4 linked regions of the Drosophila melanogaster genome follow. The protein of the gene in region 1 purifies or fractionates together with the protein of each later gene. This does not show direct contact. Each region holds a gene or a part of one and is shown in the gene's direction. Other genes may lie near its edges. The genes, in order: N, Dab, Ser and spdo.

Region 1 (5,254 bases):
AGTTTCGCAGCGGCAAATTATATCAACTAGTGCAAATCTTAAGCTACTTATCGAGTAAAAAATCGTATATCAATTAAACACGAAACGCGTATCGAACAGAAATGTAAAAACAAAAACACAAAACAACTACAAAACTTGAAAAGTTCATTTTAAACAGCGTGTTGCATACAATTTTAAAACGAAACCGAAAATCAATTCAATTATATACATTATGACAAAACAAAAAGCCTGTGTAGTTAGTTGGAACTAAAAAAAAAAACAAAAATAATAATAATATAAAAGCAAACGAAAATGAAAAGTAAAGCAGCAGCAGCAGAAAGCAAAAACAATTTTCTAAGCCAAAATTTATCAAATTTTTTAGACTTAATTACGTATACATCAAACGAAACCAACTGAATGCAGTGAGAGAAAATATTTAGATTAAGTGCTGTGCTGCATCTGTGACCCGGTCAAGAAGAGCCAAAAGTAACATATATAACTATTATTTTGCACACAAACAAACAAAATTGAAATTGAATTGAAAACTATATTTTTACGGGATGCTACAGTATTATTGCAATTTAATCGATAATCCCCAAGCCGCAAAAAACTAAAAACAAAAAGATGTCCAAATATTGGTGATTTACGAGTAAAGTGAATAAAATTAGAAAAACCACCAACATATATATATATATATATATATATAGTTCCCACTTTCCAACTTTTTGATCGGGTTTTCAGTGGCACAGCATTTCAGCATCCATGTGAAAAGTTGAATATTTTTTTGTCTAGCCCTAAGCGCGTAAATGATATTTGAACTTAAATCAATTATGTAAAGAAGCAAATGAAATATTGTATATCGTATATATATATATATATATATATATATAGAGCATAAATGTGTATGTCAACGCTTGAATTAAAAAATGACTAGCTAAGATTAGAGAGAATGTTTGTAATTTTTTTTTTTTGTCTGCCTAGTTTAGGTTTAAGCCTATTTATAGACGTAAATGAAGAATTTTAAAGGTAAAAAGAAAAACTTAAAAAGCTTAGAAACAATTTGTAAAACATTTGAGCGATCTACCAAAAAAAAAAAAAACGCAATTAAGTGTAAAGCGTTCAATTTTTAACACGAAATGCTGCCTTATGATTCCTCGTTGGGTTCTTAATTCACTAAGCCAATACTGTAATTAATTAACTAATTTATTGTTTCATATTTTATTTTTTGTTTCTTTCGAGAATATACATATGTATGTATTTATCTAAAGTAATTCTGAAAATGCTTAAAAATAATGCCCGTTCGTTTAAACTGATTTATACACTCGAATCTAATTCTATTCTTTCCGTGGGCCAATTGCGCCGAGCTTTTTAACTGGGATAGCGTTCCGAAAATCGGAGATAAGTATGGTGTTACATATTTTTTTTTGTTTTCGATAATTGTCAAACGATTCAATTAAGCGTTCAATTATATAGACGTTACACACGAAACGAAATGAAATTCAAATGAAATCCTATTAAGCCAAGTAAAGTATGATAATTGCAGGAAGCGGAGTTGCGAAAAAAAAAGGTACGGAAAATGAAAACTAAGAACGTATTGCGGGAAAACCTAACTTAAGTCGAGAACAACTCAAATTAGTTGAAATAAAGATACGAGAACAAAAGGAAAATAAAATACTTAAAAAATGCTACAAGTGCGTTTTTCAATCAAATTTATGCACATTTTTTTCCAGTGCCTACGAATTTTACATTGTCGAATTTTACATTATACATAGCGTAATTTCTACGAATCTTACATTGTCGAATTTTACATTTTACATAGCGTAATTTCTACATACCGCTATGACGGCACTAAAGCGCCATTCGGCGAAATGGGGAAACTACTCATGCAAGCGGCTCGGAGCCCGGCTAACGTTATTTGTTCACCAACCGATCTCGCAACGCTGCGAAAGAGCGCGCTGCCAAAATGGCTCCCCGCCATACGGTATCTTTTTCTTGCACCGACGCGGTCACACTGCCGATTTGAAACAGATCGCTTTTTTCCAGTGGACGAAACGGTTGTGAAAGCGGACGAGCGTTAGGCAGACGAACCTGGAAAGCGCAGAGCACAGTTCTCAACATTTATTTTTTTTTTGAATGTGTGTGCAACAACGCACGTAAAATCGCGCTGCCAACAGGATATACAAACAAATCAATTACACAGCAAGCAAATGCAATGAAATGAAAAGGATGGCCCCAGCGGGAAAGCCGTTCAGCAAGAGCAAGGAGTGCCTGTCGCAGGGATAGCAACGAGAGAGCGACACAGAGAGCGAGAGAGAGAGAGGGAGAGAAACAAGGATTTTCGAAAAGTGTATCTACCTCGAGTCGCGCGTGTGTGAGAGTGAGACGAAAGCCGAGTGCAAGAAGCGCAAGAGGAAGAGAGCAATACGCAAGCGTGCGGCGTCGGTTTGAATTTGAATTTGTGGCTCGATCCTCGCGAAGAGAAAAGCAAGCAAAAGATACACGAAAAGCGTTCTTTTTTTGCCACTTTTTTTTTATGTTTCAAAACGGAAAATGTCGCCGTCGTCGGGAGAGTGCCTCCTCTTAGTTTATCAAATAAAGCTTTAAAGTCTGAAGTTCAAAACTATAAAAAACAAAAAAAAAAACAAAAAAACAACAAACGCGCTAAAACAAAAAATTGCTTAAACTACTGAGACTAGCATACTAAACCTAAACTCGCAGTTAAACATATCCTCAAAGAGAGACCAAAGAGGAGCGCTAAAGAAACCGAGAAGCGAGTAGAGGTGAAAAACTGGAAAAGTGGTTAACTGGAAAACTGGATTACAATGCAATCGCAGCGCAGCCGACGTCGCAGTCGCGCACCAAACACTTGGATTTGTTTTTGGATTAACAAAATGCACGCCGTTGCGTCGCTGCCGGCGTCGCTGCCTCTGCTGCTGTTGACGCTGGCGTTTGCGAATTTGCCAAACACCGTTCGCGGAACTGGTGAGTAAAGCGGAGACGCCGATCAGAACAACTAGGCGGGGGGAGGGCAGGGTGACAGGCGGGGTCGCCCGAAAATAGGGTGGGTGCACAAACTGGAATTCCAGGAGGCTCAAAACGTTCCAAAACGCTTGCCAAAGAACGGTTTTTTACAGAACCAAAACTATGAGATAAGATGATCTTGTATAGCTGAAAGATGTGGATCTCAACTAATAGTACTGAATCGCATAATTGTTTGGTCTTAGATGTCAGTTTTAAATGGAGCATACTTAGTATGAAACAACTAAAATTGCAATTACAAAATATACATACATTTGCATTGGACTAGTTCCGCTTAAACCCGTTGGATAGATCGCTACATTGCATAGCTAGGAAATGTTGGTCTATAAAATCGGATGCATTCGCAACACATATAAGTGACTGAGCAAACCCATGCAACTGTAATCCAAAAAGGAAGTGATGCTACTTAATCTGCTTAATAAGCCTATAGGATTGTTGCAAATCCTACCTTAAAGAATTTCACTTTAAACGCAATCGTCGGAATCCGCTCCCAAATGCGTTCTCTGTGTTTCTCCATTCCCTTTTCGATCCTCTTCGTTTGTCTCCCTTTTGGGCAGCTCCTCTTCGCTCTTCGCCTTCCTTTTCATGGCTTGTATTCACCGCGCTTCCTTTTGCGCTGTCTTCCTTGGCTTCGCTTTGTTGTCGCTTTTCGGACAGGTGGTCGTTTTTTTTTCCTCTCTCTTTCTCTCTCTCTCTCTCCTTGTTGTCTCGCTGATCTCGTTCTCGCTCTCGCTCGATCGCTGTCGCTGTCTCGCTCTCCGCCGACTGCGCATGCTCTCTCAGATTTGGAAACCCACCTTTTCGAAACAAGAAAGACCGTTTTTACCGTCGGCAAAAGGCGAGTTTTTCCATTCCCCTAGCACTCTAGGCACTCTTTCCTTTGTGTTTTCTCACTGCGCTATTTGCTCGCTAGTAGTGAGTGGCCAACTTCCTTTCCAGCTTTGGAAGCGAACTCTCCTCCTCCACACGCTGTGTTGTGCCGCATGCACATGGGGCTTACTTGGGTATTTGCATATGGAGCGGTCGTTGTCTAATCACTGAACAAACACCGAATCGTATCGGATCGGATCGGATCGGTTGTAGGTGTACTTAGGGTCGATTGCCCCAGTAAAATGTCAACTTTCCATGGAACTCGAAATCTCTTCGACGGAATTCTCGGCTCAACGATGAGAAAGTATGGGGAATGCAGCTCGATATCATAGTATTTTGAAACAAATTTGATAATGTCAGAGAATTTTTTGTTGTTTCATTATTCGAAAATCTATCGAAATCCATCAATCCATCAAACGTTTAAAAGCAATTAAATGATCATTACTAGAAATTTGATCCCTGAGCACTGGGCAACTTTATTATTACGCACTCCATGATCTCTGCTATTTTTTTTATATTTTTTAACAGCTGCAACCGAAGAGCGTTGAACTATTATGTTTATAACTTTTACCTGGGCATTTCCTGAGCTCGAGTTTCCGCCTCCTAAACTCTTTTTTTTTCTGGCTTTATTAGCCATGGGTAATCGTGTGATCTTTGCAGTTTTAGCCAAAGGAAGTTGTAGTAAAAGTTAAATAAACGGTATAAAAAAGTATACAAATGCATATGCATATAAAGGTGAAAAAAATGCTGAAAGTAGTAATAATAAGAGTGTTAATTGATGCCAGGATATATTGCAAAAACAAAAAGGGCATCCTTTGCATTCAGTTCACTTCATTCTACTACTGCGCTAAGAAAAAAGTGTTCGAAGATGGAAAAAAAAAACCAAAAAAAAAAACAAAAATCTCTCGAATCTTCATGTACATTTTTGTACCTATTAAGTTCTCACAAATTTACGCCCCATTAGCTCCAATCCAAGTTTGTTCAACTTTGTGCGATCGAACGCCTGCATTTAGCCACAAATTTAGGGTATTATTTTTTTGCAGGTTTAATGTGGCACGTAACGGTTTCGAGAAACGAGAACCAGAACCAACCACCGCATTCGATTTCATCATATATGTACACAACCAGGCGCATATAGAAAGAATGTAGTTGGAATAAACGACAGCTGGGCTCCTGGAGCCAAAAGTGAAACAGCAGCAGGAGAAGCAGGAGCAGCAGGAGCAACCCCTGAGTCCTGGCATATTGCACATGCGCGTCCTTTTTGCTGTTTGTTCAAAGATCAAATTACGATATGCTATGGCATGGCATCGCACGGCATGGTGTTGTTGTTTGTATCGTGAGCGAGAAGGGAAATGAGCGGGCATAG
Region 2 (4,986 bases), on another chromosome or scaffold:
TTCGATGTCTTGCTATGTTTTTGAGTTCTCTTTTCGGCCGTAATGGCGCCACTGTTTTGTGGAGAAATTGCTTTGCAGTGTGACCATCTATTCGATTGTAGAAAATACCAAGAAAATTTAAATCATCATTTAAAAAAGGATCTTCAACGGTTATACGAGTTTTAACGACATAATATCTTGATAGCTAATCGAACTTTAAGGTACCCTTGGTATAAAATCTTTACATTTTTTTTTTCTATCAAAGCTTAACAGAGAAATTTACTATTATAGTTTCAATTTATGTCAAACCTTTGTATAAACATATGTAATTGTGTGTACCGCAAGTACGAGCAATTACCTATCGGTTGTCGTCGATAGACCGATAGCCTATGTACCGGCTGGCGTACAGGGTGCCCGCGGCACTTGACCCACCACCCTCGAATCCTTGGAGTTTTACTATCGAATTTTCGGTGTGTGTGCATATCCTGCTGCTCCCAGGGCGTAGGACCCAAATTAAACTACAAACCCATTCAAATTGGGTTAAATTAATGGCCAATAACATGCAAAGCAGGAAGAACGTAAAAATCAGCTTGTAAATATTTGCCAAAAGAGTCGAATTGGTTTTTTCGCTCAGCCAAAATCACGAGTGTGTCACCCACTTCTTTGTGCTTCACTTTTTTTCCTGGCTGCCAGACAAAGAAAGCTGCGCGTGTTGTGCAATATTAAGACGGGAAAGGATCAAAAACAACGAATAACAGTTAATTGAAGTTAGATAGCTTACCGCTGCATAATGAAAGGCGTAGCTACATCCCTTTCCCACCCCCCACAACGCCTTAAAGTAGGCAAAGTGGAAGTAAACACGCACACAGAGGCCCCCGTTGGAAAATCGATAATCCGTGCCGTGTCCGTGTGAGCGCGTGCGAGTGTGAGTGAGACAAATGCCGGTGTGTTCTATCGACCGACTGGCACAATAACAACAACAACAAAACGCTGACTGTCAGGAAGTTGGGGAGTGCGAAAGAGACGGAAGACGCAAAGAGCGAAACAAGTGTAAACAAATCACAAAAGGCAATTAGCAATAAAACAACGAAGGAAGTCCAATAAATCATAAATAAATAAAGCTCTTTAAGGCTCAATCATTATTCGCAACATTATACGCGGCCAAAGGAATTACTACACGAATGCCAATCAGCTTTTTCTGAGCAAAATGCAGACGCTGCGCAAGAAAACGAGTCCTTGTAAATGTAAGTAATACAAATAACACCTTAAAACGGAATTTTTTCATCTATAAAGTCTTTTTAAAGTAATTCTTCTTGTGGGAAGAAATTTTTTTTCTTGAAATTTTTGCTAGTGAGGAATGATGAAATTATCAACTAAAAACGCAAGCCATTCACATTGATTTAAATTGCAGTGTTTTATGTCAACAACGAATTTATTTGGTATTGTCAATTGAATTAGGGTATATTATGTATTTTGAACACAGGCATCCCTACTTCGAAGTTCTAAAGTAATATTTCTGAAATCAGTAAAAGAAAAACTGTCCTAAATTGTTTCTCTTTAAAGATACTTTGCCCTTTTAACAGCACTGCATATCAAATTACACTCATACGCCATGTTGTAGAGACATGATAGACCTTTTCTAGGTGGTAAATATTTTGTCAGTCAACTTTTCTACTTTCCTTCCTGCATCTCCCTCGCACTTCTATTATCTGCGTAATTCGACCATAGCGTTCTCCTTTGTTTACTTAAAAAGCTAATCATACTTATGAGCAGGGACAAAGTAAATTCCTCACCATTAAGTAAAACTAAACGTTTTAGGTTTATTTCTGGCCGAAGCTAGCTTTTCAAATTCCGATATATCCTATTGATCGATCCCTCGATTCAATGCTAGACCCGGCTTATCGATAAGCGTCTCAGACAGCATCCGCCAATCGAATAGCAGCTGCTGCGCCGGCGTCGCAGGTGTTGCAGTTTTCCCAAAAAAGATCAACAATGGCCGAGAGAGCTGCTCGTTTTCTGTACTGTATTTTGCGCCACAAAAATCACTAAATAATAGAGTGAAATCTATGTGTACACACGAGTGCCTCAAAGAGTGTGTGTGTGTGTTTTTGTTTATTATTTCAATTGAACAAACTGCGACAATCCAGTCCAGTCGAAAAAGAGAGTCACCGTGAGAGCATTCGAATCGTTTCCACGCTCTCATTCGCTTTTATTCATTCCATGATCGCGCATCGTTCTCCGCTAGAATTTAATTAAATCTATAGCGTCGCGAAAAATCGTTGTGGAATTTATGTATTGTTTGTCCCCCATTGTGTGCCCCCTCCAGCACCAACACCCTCTCGTCATCGTCCGCGTCCCAATGGAAATGTCAACACACACACACACAACAGAGAGGCCCGGAATGCTACACTGATTCTGTTGACACTTCGGTGACCAGAGTTCCAGAATTCCAGAGTTTTTCCAGCCAGCGTTTTCCCAATGAGCAGGAGCAGTACCCACTGAGACTTCGGCCGGGCGAAACATGGTCAAGTCCCTGGTGGCCAAGTTGTCCACAGCCTCCTCCAATCTCTCGTTGGCCAGCACCTTTGGCGGCGGCAGCGGCGCGGCAGAGGAAACGAATTACGCAAAACGTTAGCGAAAACAAACTAAGCAAATACACAAATAACAAACAAACGAACACAGTGGCCCCTCCGCAGTGAGAAAGGGCAAACAAAACCAAGATACAAACATATGCGAAGATCACAGTGAAAATTTTTTTTGATATTGTGCTGATAAGACGAAGCTATATATAAAAAATCAATATTGGTCCTATCACTATAGCAAATTGAGATTTACTAATACAATAAATGCTGATATTCAAAGAATCGAGTTCTTTATAAAAAAATCTGAAGATAAAGAAGATGATCAGAAGAAGTTTTTCAGTGTACATACATGTTTAAAAATCTTTTAAATTCTACTTAGACGTTCAAAACTGTTTTAGCATTCAGTATAAAATTGTAATAAAGATGCTTCGGAAGGCAAAGAAATAATAAAACTGTTTTTAAATCATAGTTCCCAGCGGAAGGAATGAAAAGTGATGCGAAATATTGAATAGAACAATGAAAGTCTTCTTGATCTTGAATGAAGATTTTTAAAATTTCAAATTTGATATACCACAATAAAAAATATATAATCCATATAGATTTTGCATTCCATCAAAGCATCATTTTAAATATTGGATGATCCAACGAGGAACACAAGTGTTCATTCAAGCACATAATTACTCGAAAAATTTGAAAAATGAATCATTCAAAATATTTTAATGGGGATTCGGTCCAATAAACCCAGATTTGTGCACAATCCATAGAGTTTTGTCGAAATGGATTATACTTCTTTTGATAAACTAATGAGTAATTAGTTTGCTTGCCATTTCATCTTATATTGCAAATATTAAAGCATTTTCTTTTTAATTTCGGACTAGATGGTTTAATTATATTATAGTTCCGTTTCCTAAATACTCCTTTTGTAACTTTTTTATGTTTAAATTTTTTGAAATGTTGCCAAAATTTGTAACAGTGCTAAATAAAAACGTTCATAAATGTGGGTTCTCTCAAAATAAATCAGCCACACCCCAAATCCCACGGCTTCCAAAACTGACGAGTGACCACTACACTCTGTAAAACATTTTCGCCAAACCAAAATTATCCGAATACACACCTTAACAAACACAAAGACTCATTTTGGCATTCGATTCTTGGGCTCATTTTCCAGATCGCAATGATCCGGGACGCTTTTTCGGCGATGGCGTTCAGTTCAAGGCAAAGCTCATCGGCATTCTGGAGGTAAGAGTTTACTTTTTGGATAAATTTCAGTATCTAACATTGTGATCTTTCGAAATTTAAGGTGGGCGAGGCCCGAGGTGATCGGATGTGCCAGGAGGCGCTGCAAGATCTCAAAATGGCCATCCGGGCGGCTGGAGAGCACAAGCAGCGGATAACCATCCATGTGACCATCGATGGTCTGCGGCTGAGGGATGAGAAAACGGGTGACTCCCTGTACCATCATCCGGTGCATAAGATCTCCTTCATCGCGCAGGATATGACTGACTCGAGGGCCTTTGGCTATATCTTCGGATCGCCGGACAGTGGTCACCGGTTCTTCGGCATCAAGACGGACAAGGCGGCCAGCCAGGTGGTGCTGGCCATGCGCGATCTCTTCCAGGTAGTTTTCGAGCTAAAGAAAAAGGAGATTGAGATGGCGCGCCAGCAGATCCAGGGTAAGTCCCTGCACGACCATTCCAGCCAGCTGGCCTCCCTGTCGTCGCTGAAGTCCTCCGGCCTGGGTGGCATGGGTCTGGGCCACTCGGATTTGGCCAGCGGAGGAATCTCATCCGGCCATGCCCTCACCCTGCTGGGCAGTAGTCTTAGCACCACGAATGGAACGAGCAGGCTGGGCGTGAGTCTTGACGTGGCCAAGGCATCCGGATCGGCGGCCAAAGAGGTTCGTTACCCAGTCATATGCTATTTCAAACTATTTTTCATTACAACACTATATTTTATAGGTCTCTCCGGAATCCGTGGCCGATCTTGTGGACTTGGAGCAGGAGCTTACCTCGCTTCAGCGGGGAATCAGTCAGATGGAACGGATAACGCCAAACGAGCCGACCACCAGTAGCACTGGTGGTGCTGGCCATCCATCTCTAGCGAAATCAGCCAGCGAGGACGATCCTTTCGGAGACTCGTTTATCTATGTGCCCTCGTATAGCATACTGCCACCGCCACCTGATTCCGGACGCAACAGGCACAAGCCGCCCAACAAAACACCTGATGCGGTGACCAGTTTGGATGCAATGCTTTCGCCACCTCCTGGTACAAGTAGCTCCCACGGCTCAGCCTCCGCTGGACTACAGGCTGCAGATAACGACGATGACAACTGGCTGCAGGAACTGGACCAACAAAATGATGTCTTCGACACGTCCAAAGTGGTGAGCAGCAGTGGATTGGGTTCGGTTTTGGCCATGGCTCCGCT
Region 3 (4,911 bases), on another chromosome or scaffold:
CCACTAACCGCAAACAGCCACCACAACGGCAGCAGGAGGAGTGAAAAATTAAAAAAGAAAAACGAGGAGGCGGAAAAAACACTTGAAAAATCTGTCATAAAATGTTGAGTGGTGTAAAACCAACTGGTTGAAATTGCCAACATATTTGCCTGTTTGTTTAATGAACTCGCCCAACGAGGGTTTTTTTGGTTTGAGGGGGTGAACCTTTGTCAAGAGGGTGGGTTTAACATTTTGATTACTCAATATGTTTGATTTTATGGATTTATGCCACCGCTCTGGTCCACTTTTGCAGCTGTTACATGTGACAGTAAAACCAAAAAACACAAAAACACTTGGCCGGAAAACGAAAGCTAATCCCAAAAAAGAAATGCCATCAAACCCGAACAAGTGTCCAACAAGCCGCCAACACAGAGTGCCCCCAAATTATGAGAGACGCGCACAAAGACACCTGTAAGTCGTTGTCTGCTATTAGTTGAAATCAAAACGAAAACAATGTAAGCCACAGTGAGCAAAAATAATATCTCTGGGGAGCACCAGCTCGAAGTCTCTGGAGGCTGATGGCTGAAGGCTGTAGTCTGCTGGCCACCAACGCAAAGCTGGTCGTCGCCTTTTAGCCAATTTTGATATAACTGAAAGCGTCAATTATACGTGAAATTTATGATGCCGTGTGAAGAATAACACCAACTTGCAACATATTTGGACAACGAAGCCGTTGCCATTGCCGCTGGCAGTTGCCTTTGCCGTTGCCGTCTCGGTGGCCCGTACAATTGCCGCTCTGGGGTCTCTTGTCGCAGATATGTAAGCTGATAATGGGCATTGTAGTGCAGTTTTTCTTCCATTTCTTCTGTTTTTTTTTTCTTCTTTTTTTTTAAGCGAGAAAAGATGACAAAGGAGCTGGGAGACCGCTGCCCAGTACGCCCACCAAATAGAGGAGGATGGAGACCCAAATGGCCAGGGAGACGGCTAGAGAAGACATTTTGGGCACACACCAAGTCAATTTGTTTTATCTATTGTCGAACAAGAGTCATGTCACAACGGCACAATGAGATTTACTATGTGTTGTTGCAGTTGTTGAGGCAGCAGCAGTTGTTGCTGCTGCTGTTGTTGCTGTGGTGGGCAGACAATGGAAAATCAGCAACATGATTCGATATTTAGATATGCGCCTCAAGAAATATGAGCCGCTAACAACAACAGTAAGGTAGGCAGCAGCAACAACAAAGATGCTGCCGCCTGTCTTGTTGGCCGCATGTAATTGCCAAGTTTGTTGCTTAAGTCTTTTGTTTTGGCTGCACTGATAGGCCAGTTGCATTTAAATTTGATTTATACACTTTTGGCCAGCAGATAATTGGATGGAAGTCGCCGCTCTGTCTGTGTGGTTAATAATTGGCCGATGCTAGTATCTTTCGATTTGGTTCCCAGCCGTTAAAGATTGTGGGAGCGTTCCTTCATATTAGGTGTTAATTGCCAGTCCCTTGGAGCTACTAGATCTGGAGCACACACACACATACACACACAGCCCCAGAATGCACTTATTGGCATAATTAAGTTGGAATCGTAAAAAACGGCAGCCGAGAGCCTCGGGCGCGCATGCGTGCAGCAGCCGAAGCGGCAGCAACTCCATTAACTGCCGATTCTGATTCAGATTCCGGGCCCCGGGGCTATATACAGTCGTACGACCAATCAGCGGCTGGCTAAAGAGCACTGCACGAAGAGCAAACTGGTTTTCTTCAAAGAGAAGCACAGAGAGAATCGCTGCGAGTTAAGCTCTCGGGATCGACGGCAACTTGTGCCCAGAGGCAATCAGTCGTTAGTCGAAGCCTGAAGCGCACGCAGCACTCAGCGGAAGTCGTCGCCAGTTTATTTTGAAAGCGGTTTCGGTGGTTCAGACCGAGCCACAGTTCTCTTAAGACTGCAGATCACCACCACCACCACCACCACCAGCAGCAGCAGCGACAGCTCACCTCACCACCTTTACCACCACCAAAACCGCAGCTCTCTCGCGTGACTTGCTCCGCCCCGTGAATGGATGCTGCTCGAGGGCTGGAAATGCCGCAGGATTCGGTTAACGCGTTTAGTCGAGCGCCGTGCTTCGAGCGGTGATGAGCCCCTTTTCTGTCAACGGTAAAACCCCTCCTCGAATTGGATTATTGTGCACCCAAACTGAACGCCACCGACCATCATCCATATAACAATTGTGAAAGTGTTTAATGTGCCGCAATCGAATTAAATTGCTTGCTGATTACAACAAATGATGAAGAGCAATCAACTACAAATGCTCGGTGGAAGAAAAGCAAATCGAAAGATCGACAATCAGCCGACATTTTGCTATGTGTGTGTTTCCATAGTGTGTGATTAATTTCTGAGCCCAGATCGTGTGAGCTAAGGAAAACGGAAATACCTTTCAATTAAATACAATACATTAATATATCAAAATACAATGCCGTCAAAATTGTGTTTAATCAAAGGCGAAAAGTAAAAGTGCAAACAATGTGAATATGCGAAAACGAGTGCCCCATTCCGGGGGAATCGCTGGCCACAGTGTGCTCCATTGATAACGCACACAGGGACGCAAAACAGGGACACAAACACACGAAGCTACAACTACGAAGTGGAATTGAAACATGCCAAGTGAAAGGGAGAAAGAATGAAAACATCCGACTAGTTCATAATGCACGCAGATAATACAAATAATAATAATAATGGGCGCACATAGAGAAATTTCCACTAGAACTTAATAAGTGGGATTCCCAAACAACCTATTGAAAGTATTTGACTTTCTAAAAGCGATGCTTAACACGGATTTTTTTTTCTAAATTTAAAGAATTTTGAATTGAATAACAAATGTTTTATTAGAAAGTTAAAGAACTTTCCGTATAGATGAAGTAGTGTAGTTTTCTTCTGTGCACCGGGAGAAAAGAGAGATTGTGAAATCAGTTTGGTTCTGAATGGGTGGTACGAGCATGGGAAAGCCCCTGATCAAGAGAGCGCGGAAAATGCTCGATGCACTGCTCAATGATTTACCATATGCAACGAATAACGGATCTAGCACGGTCCAAAGCTTATTCAGATCGTTAAGTTCAAGACGGTGATCTGGTTGCACAATTATTTGATAAATCAGAGTATATCCAGAAGTTACTAGAAATAGAAATGGATACACGGTATACTAAAGTTTTGAGGCCGCTAGAAGTTCATTCATCGTTTTGCAAATTGCCAAGAGAGAAGAGTGAAAGTAGCGGTATTAGGGGGTATTAAGGGGGAGGTAGCTGCATCATCCACTTGCAAAAGCCACTTCCGGTCATGCCCTGCAGCAGCAGCAACATCCACATCAGCGGCAGCAGCAGCAGCAGCATGAGCAAGAGCGGCAGCATCTGGGTTTCGATTCAAAGTCAACGACTTCCGTTCCGTGCCAAAGCCGGGAGGAGGCCCCAAGCAAATTACTTAATTAAATGGACAATTAACACCCGAGCAGGAGGAACCGGGGCGGGCTGGGGGGCTAAAGGCCATGGGAGGATAGGATGGCCGGAATGGCAAAAGCAGCGGCAGGGTGGGAAGAATGAGTAATGTGAGCAAGAGTGAAAATATCTGTAAATTAATATGCGCACAAGATGCAAATTGTTTGTGGCCAAAGACACGGCTCCATAGTCGCAGCAGCAGCAACTGCAGAAGCAGCCACATCAGCAGCGGCAGTAACAGCGTTAAATTAACATAAATTGAATTGCATTTGCATTTGCTGCACGTTGCCGCTTTTTGCGGTCTGGCAAAAGTAAATGTTGCTGCGGTGGCTGGTGGCACTTGTTGCGGCTTGCTGCGGTTGCCGCTACTGCAACTGCAACTGCAGCAGCAGCAGCATCATCTGCGTGTCAATTAGCGTTGATGATGCACAGTGAAATAGATTTTGCGCAGCCCGTTTCAATTCCAATTCGTTCGACAATTGTTACAGCTAAAGATCTACAAAACATCAGCGCCTATCAAGTGGAAGTGTCAAGTGTGAACAAAACAAAAACGAGAGAAGCACATACTAAGGTCCATATAAATAATAAATAATAATTGTGTGTGATAACAACATTATCCAAACAAAACCAAACAAAACGAAGGCAAAGTGGAGAAAATGATACAGCATCCAGAGTACGGCCAGTTATTCAGCTATCCAGAGCAAGTGTAGTGTGGCAAAATAGAAACAAACAAAGGCACCAAAATCTGCATACATGGGCTAATTAAGGCTGCCCAGCGAATTTACATTTGTGTGGTGCCAATCCAGAGTGAATCCGAAACAAACTCCATCTAGATCGCCAACCAGCATCACGCTCGCAAACGCCCCCAGAATGTACAAAATGTTTAGGAAACATTTTCGGCGAAAACCAGCTACGTCGTCGTCGTTGGAGTCAACAATAGAATCAGCAGACAGCCTGGGAATGTCCAAGAAGACGGCGACAAAAAGGCAGCGTCCGAGGCATCGGGTACCCAAAATCGCGACCCTGCCATCGACGATCCGCGATTGTCGATCATTAAAGTCTGCCTGCAACTTAATTGCTTTAATTTTAATACTGTTAGTCCATAAGGTAAGCAAACCAACCAACATGCAAAAAACGATCGAATCCCCAAAGCAATAATCGCAAAAAGCCCCAGATCCAAATACATGCGGGTGTAGTGTCTCGTCAAAAAGGCCAAAAGAAAACAGACAAAGTTGATTCAACCCATGCGAATTGGCAATGGCTGAGGGCAAAGTTTTGATGGGGGACGTAAATAATGATGATTTTTGGGTTTATTTTTTTGAGTGATTTATCAACTCCGCATCCCGAAGAGCTGTCTTTAATGAGAGCTCTTACGCTGGAATTTTCTCAAAGCAGTAAATCAAGCATATGTCAATAAACAAGATTCGTAGAACGCGTTAAAAAAACAGAAATCATTTAC
Region 4 (4,617 bases), on another chromosome or scaffold:
TATCTCTTGCTTATATGCGAAGGGGATCTATGTGGCGTATATATATGACAACTGGCAGCGGAAATAATATGGGGGAGAGAGCAGGGTGCAGGATGCGGTGAGACAACTCCCCTAATCAAATAATGCCAGTCGCACTCAGGACTCAGGATTCAGGATCTATCTTTGCGGCTGTTTCTCTGCTGTTCAGTTCAGTTGAGTTTAGTTGAGTTTCTGTTCCTGCATTTGTACCTTGGTTGTGTCACAACAAAGGACGAGACAGGATCCTCGCAAACAGCTGACAGCTGTGTGCCTGCCGTCTCTGTCTGTTATCCTTGTGCGCTGTCATTGCCCCTGCCTTTGAGTATCTGCATCCGAGTATCCTTCGGATACTGTGCAGAAACCCCGCACTCTAGTCGCGTGCCGTCTGCCGGCGTTTAACTTTATATGCATCTTAAATTTTCCCACCGACCAGCTGTTGGTGCCTCCAATTTCTGGCTAATCCGCTTGACAAATGCCCCCGGCTGCGCTGATTTGCTTCTGGCCAAAAGGCAATTAAGTTGGCCACCACAAAAGGACAACACGCGTGCATCCAACCTGCGGGCTCAAAGGCATGTACATATGTATGCACGTGGGAGGCGAAATCCGGATAAAGTTGACCCACGAACTCTTCGTTTTTTATCGTTTTTCTCTGACAACCAAATGTAACGGTCGCTTGGGCAACAAAAATCCGGGGAGGGCTGCCTTTAGGGAAGGTTTTTGGTCTGCACAAACATCAGAGCTGAGCAAGGATTATTTTTAAGAAGCAAGCGCGACTGAAGGGTACCCCTTAAAATAAATAAGCGAAGTGAAATAATTTAATCTCTTAAGTTCTTTTGTTTCATTTCTTTCTGACTGAAGCTAAGCTCTACTTTATGGCTTGACGCTTTTACGTCAGAAATATGTGCATATTAAACTAAACTGTTTTGTGAAAGCATTCATTAAAAGTTTGTTTTAATGGTGCCGATATACGGATGCTAACCATATATAATAAAAGCACGATATGTTTTCAACAAACAATAAACTATTTTAAATATTTCGGTCGAGAAACAAAGCAGCGGATGAACAAAAGGAACAAGAACAACTAGTTCTTATATGATTATAATAAAGAAAAAACACTTTTATGATAGTTAAATTATGTTGAATTCTCGGTGATGACAGTGTGCTGATATGATCTGCTCTACACTGGTTATGTTCGAGTATAATCTTAGGTGGATTTAAAACACATTCATCATACCCCTCAACTCGCCAACTAAGTGGTAGCAAAACAGAATTAAAGTCGCAAGGGAGCGCATATGAGTTGGTAAATAAGAATTAAAAACGCCGATAAACGCGAACCGAATAAAACGCCGGCTGCTCCTGCAATTCGCCAGGGGTTTTTAGGTTTTGGTTAGGATCGCGTTGAGACGTCTCAGTTGGAAGTGAAATGCGTTTCAACCCCCGTTCGTTCGTCGAGCAGCAGGAGCAGATGTTTCTGGGTTTTCACATTCGGTTCGGTTCCAATGGCCTAATGGAACGCGCCAAACACAGTCGGTCATTGTACGGGTGTACGGGTGTCTTATGTACAAGTAAATGGTGTTTTATGGGGTGGGGACTCGTATCGGAGCACGATCCACTCGACTGCGCGCCGGCGCAGGAAGTGGAGGAAGTTGAGGAGCTGCCGTCTGGAACGGCTCTCTAGATCAGTCGAGTCGCAGTTGCCGAGGCGAGCGGATCGTGAACAGTGCTACGAACCCAAAGAAAACCCAAAGTAGTGAAAGAACACCCCTAAGAGGTTGTGGAATTGCCACCAGTACAGTGCCAACATGTCGCAGCATAACTATACGAACCCGGCCTTCTGCCAGAACAGCGAGTATTACCCGGTGCCCAGCGGCAACTCGTCGCGAGTGGAGTCCATCTACAACAGAAGCCTCCAGATGAACTTTGGAGCGGCTCCTCCGCGCGCCACTCGAGATCCCCGCGAGGGTCCACTGCGAATGCAGCGTAGCATGTCCACGCGATCGGTGACGCGGAAACAACACCAGCAGCAGCAGCAGCAGCAACACCAACAGCAGATACACCAGCAACACCTGGCTCAGCAGCAGCAACACCAGCCGCAATCCTCTAGTGGTCGCTATGCCTTGGTTCCCCTAGAGGAACTGAACAGCAGTAGGGCCAGTAGATACGCCATAGTTCCAGGACAGGCGGCACAGAGACTGGCCCGATCACAGGATAATCTGGATCGCTATGGCTCCAGACATGGATTGCACGAAGAGGAGGAGCCTCACTCCTTCCACGAGGAACCCCATCAGGAGACCCAGTTTGCCAGCTTGCCACCGATACTTAATTTGCCGCCCAAGCCCAGGAATATTAACAACAATACCAATGCCAATCAAACCCAGATTAAGCATGCTTTTAGTAGCGACTTCGGCAGCAAGACCTTCTTGATAGTGGATAAGAATAGCAACCAGAGGTACCAGATGGTGCCCACCGCCGAGGACGAGGAGCTGGTAGACGAGAACCAGGAGATCATACAGATGCACAATGGCCGCGCCCATCGATATGCAGTGGTGCCCACGGATGCGGACGACGATGATCTGGCGGAGGAGCAGGAGCAGCAGGAAACCTGCCTGAGCAACATGGAATTGAGCAGGCAGTACGCAGCGAGGACCTCAACGCCGCAGCAAAAGAATGCGGCTGCCGCTACGAGGGCCCTGCACGAGCTCCTGACCACGCCCAGGAAGATGCAGCCGCCTCCGCGATTGGCGCACTCAACGCCCCGGAACGCCGCCCACCACGAGCAGCTGCAGCTGGAAAGGCGCTTGGAGATCTACAAAAGCCAACAGATCTACCAAAGCCAACAAGTTGGAGCGGTAGTAGGAGTCCCTCCAACCTTGCCACTTCGCCAGAATCGACTCTCCCCCCAGAGACTTCACTACGAGACCGTGAAGCCGCTTCCCATGCAGATCGCCGATCGATCCATGGCCGTCATCAGTCCCAGGGTCCAGGAGCAGGGGCAGGAGCAGGAACGGGAACAGGACATGAGCAGCATCCAGGGAAAGGGCAAGAAAAACAGCTCCTATCCGCAGAAGATGGCCAATGCCACCATTACCTTGGCCGTTGTCTCCCTGATGCTCGTCTTGGGCAGCACCATGAATGCGGGGCTCATCATCTACATGATAGCACACGTAAGTACTCTCAAATACTTTTAAAGATATTCATTTTGTCCATGGAAACATTTGAATAACACTTTTTCTTCGCCTACAGCTCGGAAAGTCCTTTTACCTGCAGTTTAGCCTGGTGGCCTCCTTCTCCGGAATGGGACTCGGCTTCCTGGGATTCAAGTCGCGCCACTGCGAGTGGCTGCCGAACAGGAGCTATAGTTCCGGCTATATCCTGGTCACCGTATTTTGCCTATTCAAGTCCTGCGGATTGCTTGTGATACTCGTGGTGGACCCCTTCCCCGGATTTCCTGTCCACGATGTGACCACTGGCGTCATCCTTGGACTGTCGACTTTCACCATGTTCTTCATCGGATTGGGAGTGCTGGGCAGCTTGTGGTGCCACCGACCTCCGCCAGACAACCGCGTCAACGTGGTCTAATACCCTGGAAATAGTTAATCCTAGACTCTAATTAGTTGTACACCATCCACTTCGAATTCAAGAACTTGACACACCGAACGGCTAAAAGACCAAAAACAAGAATTAGATTTATAATCAGCGGAAGATCATCATCCCCCAAACGACTGTATATAACAAGTGGGTTGTACCTATTGCTAACACTTAGTTTGCTTAACTTATTGTTCACCTAAGTATAAGTATGTTATGGAATAAGAATAAAATAAAGGCACGTAGATACCAGCACAGCATTTTGTATCAATAAGGAAATGGTTAAAGTGTTCAATTAGGTTAGTTCTTTAACAATCAAAAATATATATATGGTGAATAAACACTTTCAAATATAGGTCGAGTGTTAAAATTATAGATTCAGCGTCGTGATACTTAACTTAATTGAGTAAACAATTATTTTTCAGCTTTCAGCACCTTTTAACTATTGAAATACGGTGCATATTTTAAAGCAATGTGTTTTGCTCTTCTGTCTACTAAGTTTTGCCCTCTCTTTAAATTGCAGCAAAATGGACGAGTACCAGAGGGAGCACTCGGATGCCTCCCATGATATAACCGCCTATGTATCCAATCCAATCAATGCGTACCTGCTGACTAAGCGGCTAACCACCGATTGGCGTCAGGTGGAGAACCTCATGGAGCACGACGTGGGCACGGATTTCCTGCAGAACATCACCCAGTATCGCAGCCTCCTGAAGTTCCCCTCCGACGAGGACCTCAATGGCGCGGCGGTGGCCTTGCTCCGCCTGCAAGACACCTACCAACTGGACACTTCGAGTGTGGCGAGGGGCAAGCTGAATGGCATTCAGTACAGGTAAGTTTTTGTCCAACTAAATGCATGCGAGAAGTAAGGAAGTAAGCTAGAGCTATACAAAGCTGAGCACAGTCATCGATTTTCTGGTTACCAAAAAAATAAACTTCTCGAAGTGGAGCGGCCAAGTCCCTGGGATACTCACTGACCAAATTTATTATCCCGCAGCACGGAAATGTCCTCGG

The links.
Region 2: the proteins of N (region 1) and Dab purify together in Drosophila melanogaster (affinity purification with western blotting; 4 studies listed by BioGRID). This does not show direct contact.
Region 3: the proteins of N (region 1) and Ser purify together in Drosophila melanogaster (affinity purification with western blotting; 5 studies listed by BioGRID). This does not show direct contact.
Region 4: the proteins of N (region 1) and spdo purify together in Drosophila melanogaster (affinity purification with western blotting, with the first as the bait; 2 studies listed by BioGRID). This does not show direct contact.

What each region holds. Positions count from the first base shown.
Region 1 is NC_004354.4:3,132,867-3,138,120, forward strand, and holds the start of N (notch), read left to right. Parts: upstream 1-2,003; 5' UTR 2,004-2,801; coding exon 2,802-2,961; intron 2,962-5,254. UniProt on the Drosophila melanogaster protein: Essential signaling protein which has a major role in many developmental processes. Functions as a receptor for membrane-bound ligands Delta and Serrate to regulate cell-fate determination.
Region 2 is NT_037436.4:16,711,712-16,716,697, forward strand, and holds the start of Dab (disabled), read left to right. Parts: upstream 1-1,948; 5' UTR 1,949-2,500; coding exon 2,501-2,609; intron 2,610-3,729; coding exon 3,730-3,800; intron 3,801-3,861; coding exon 3,862-4,458; intron 4,459-4,519; coding exon 4,520-4,986. UniProt on the Drosophila melanogaster protein: Together with Abl, involved in embryonic neural development. May have a role in eye development. Acts as an adapter protein for SH2-domain containing proteins during sevenless (sev) signaling.
Region 3 is NT_033777.3:27,191,154-27,196,064, reverse strand, and holds the start of Ser (serrate), read left to right. Parts: upstream 1-1,797; 5' UTR 1,798-2,121; intron 2,122-3,940; 5' UTR 3,941-4,322; coding exon 4,323-4,559; intron 4,560-4,911.
Region 4 is NT_033777.3:30,474,993-30,479,609, forward strand, and holds spdo (sanpodo), read left to right. Parts: upstream 1-1,691; 5' UTR 1,692-1,820; coding exon 1,821-3,182; intron 3,183-3,261; coding exon 3,262-3,597; 3' UTR 3,598-3,857; downstream 3,858-4,617. Other genes in the region: PH4alphaEFB (prolyl-4-hydroxylase-alpha EFB), read left to right, coding at 4,127-4,435, 4,601-4,617.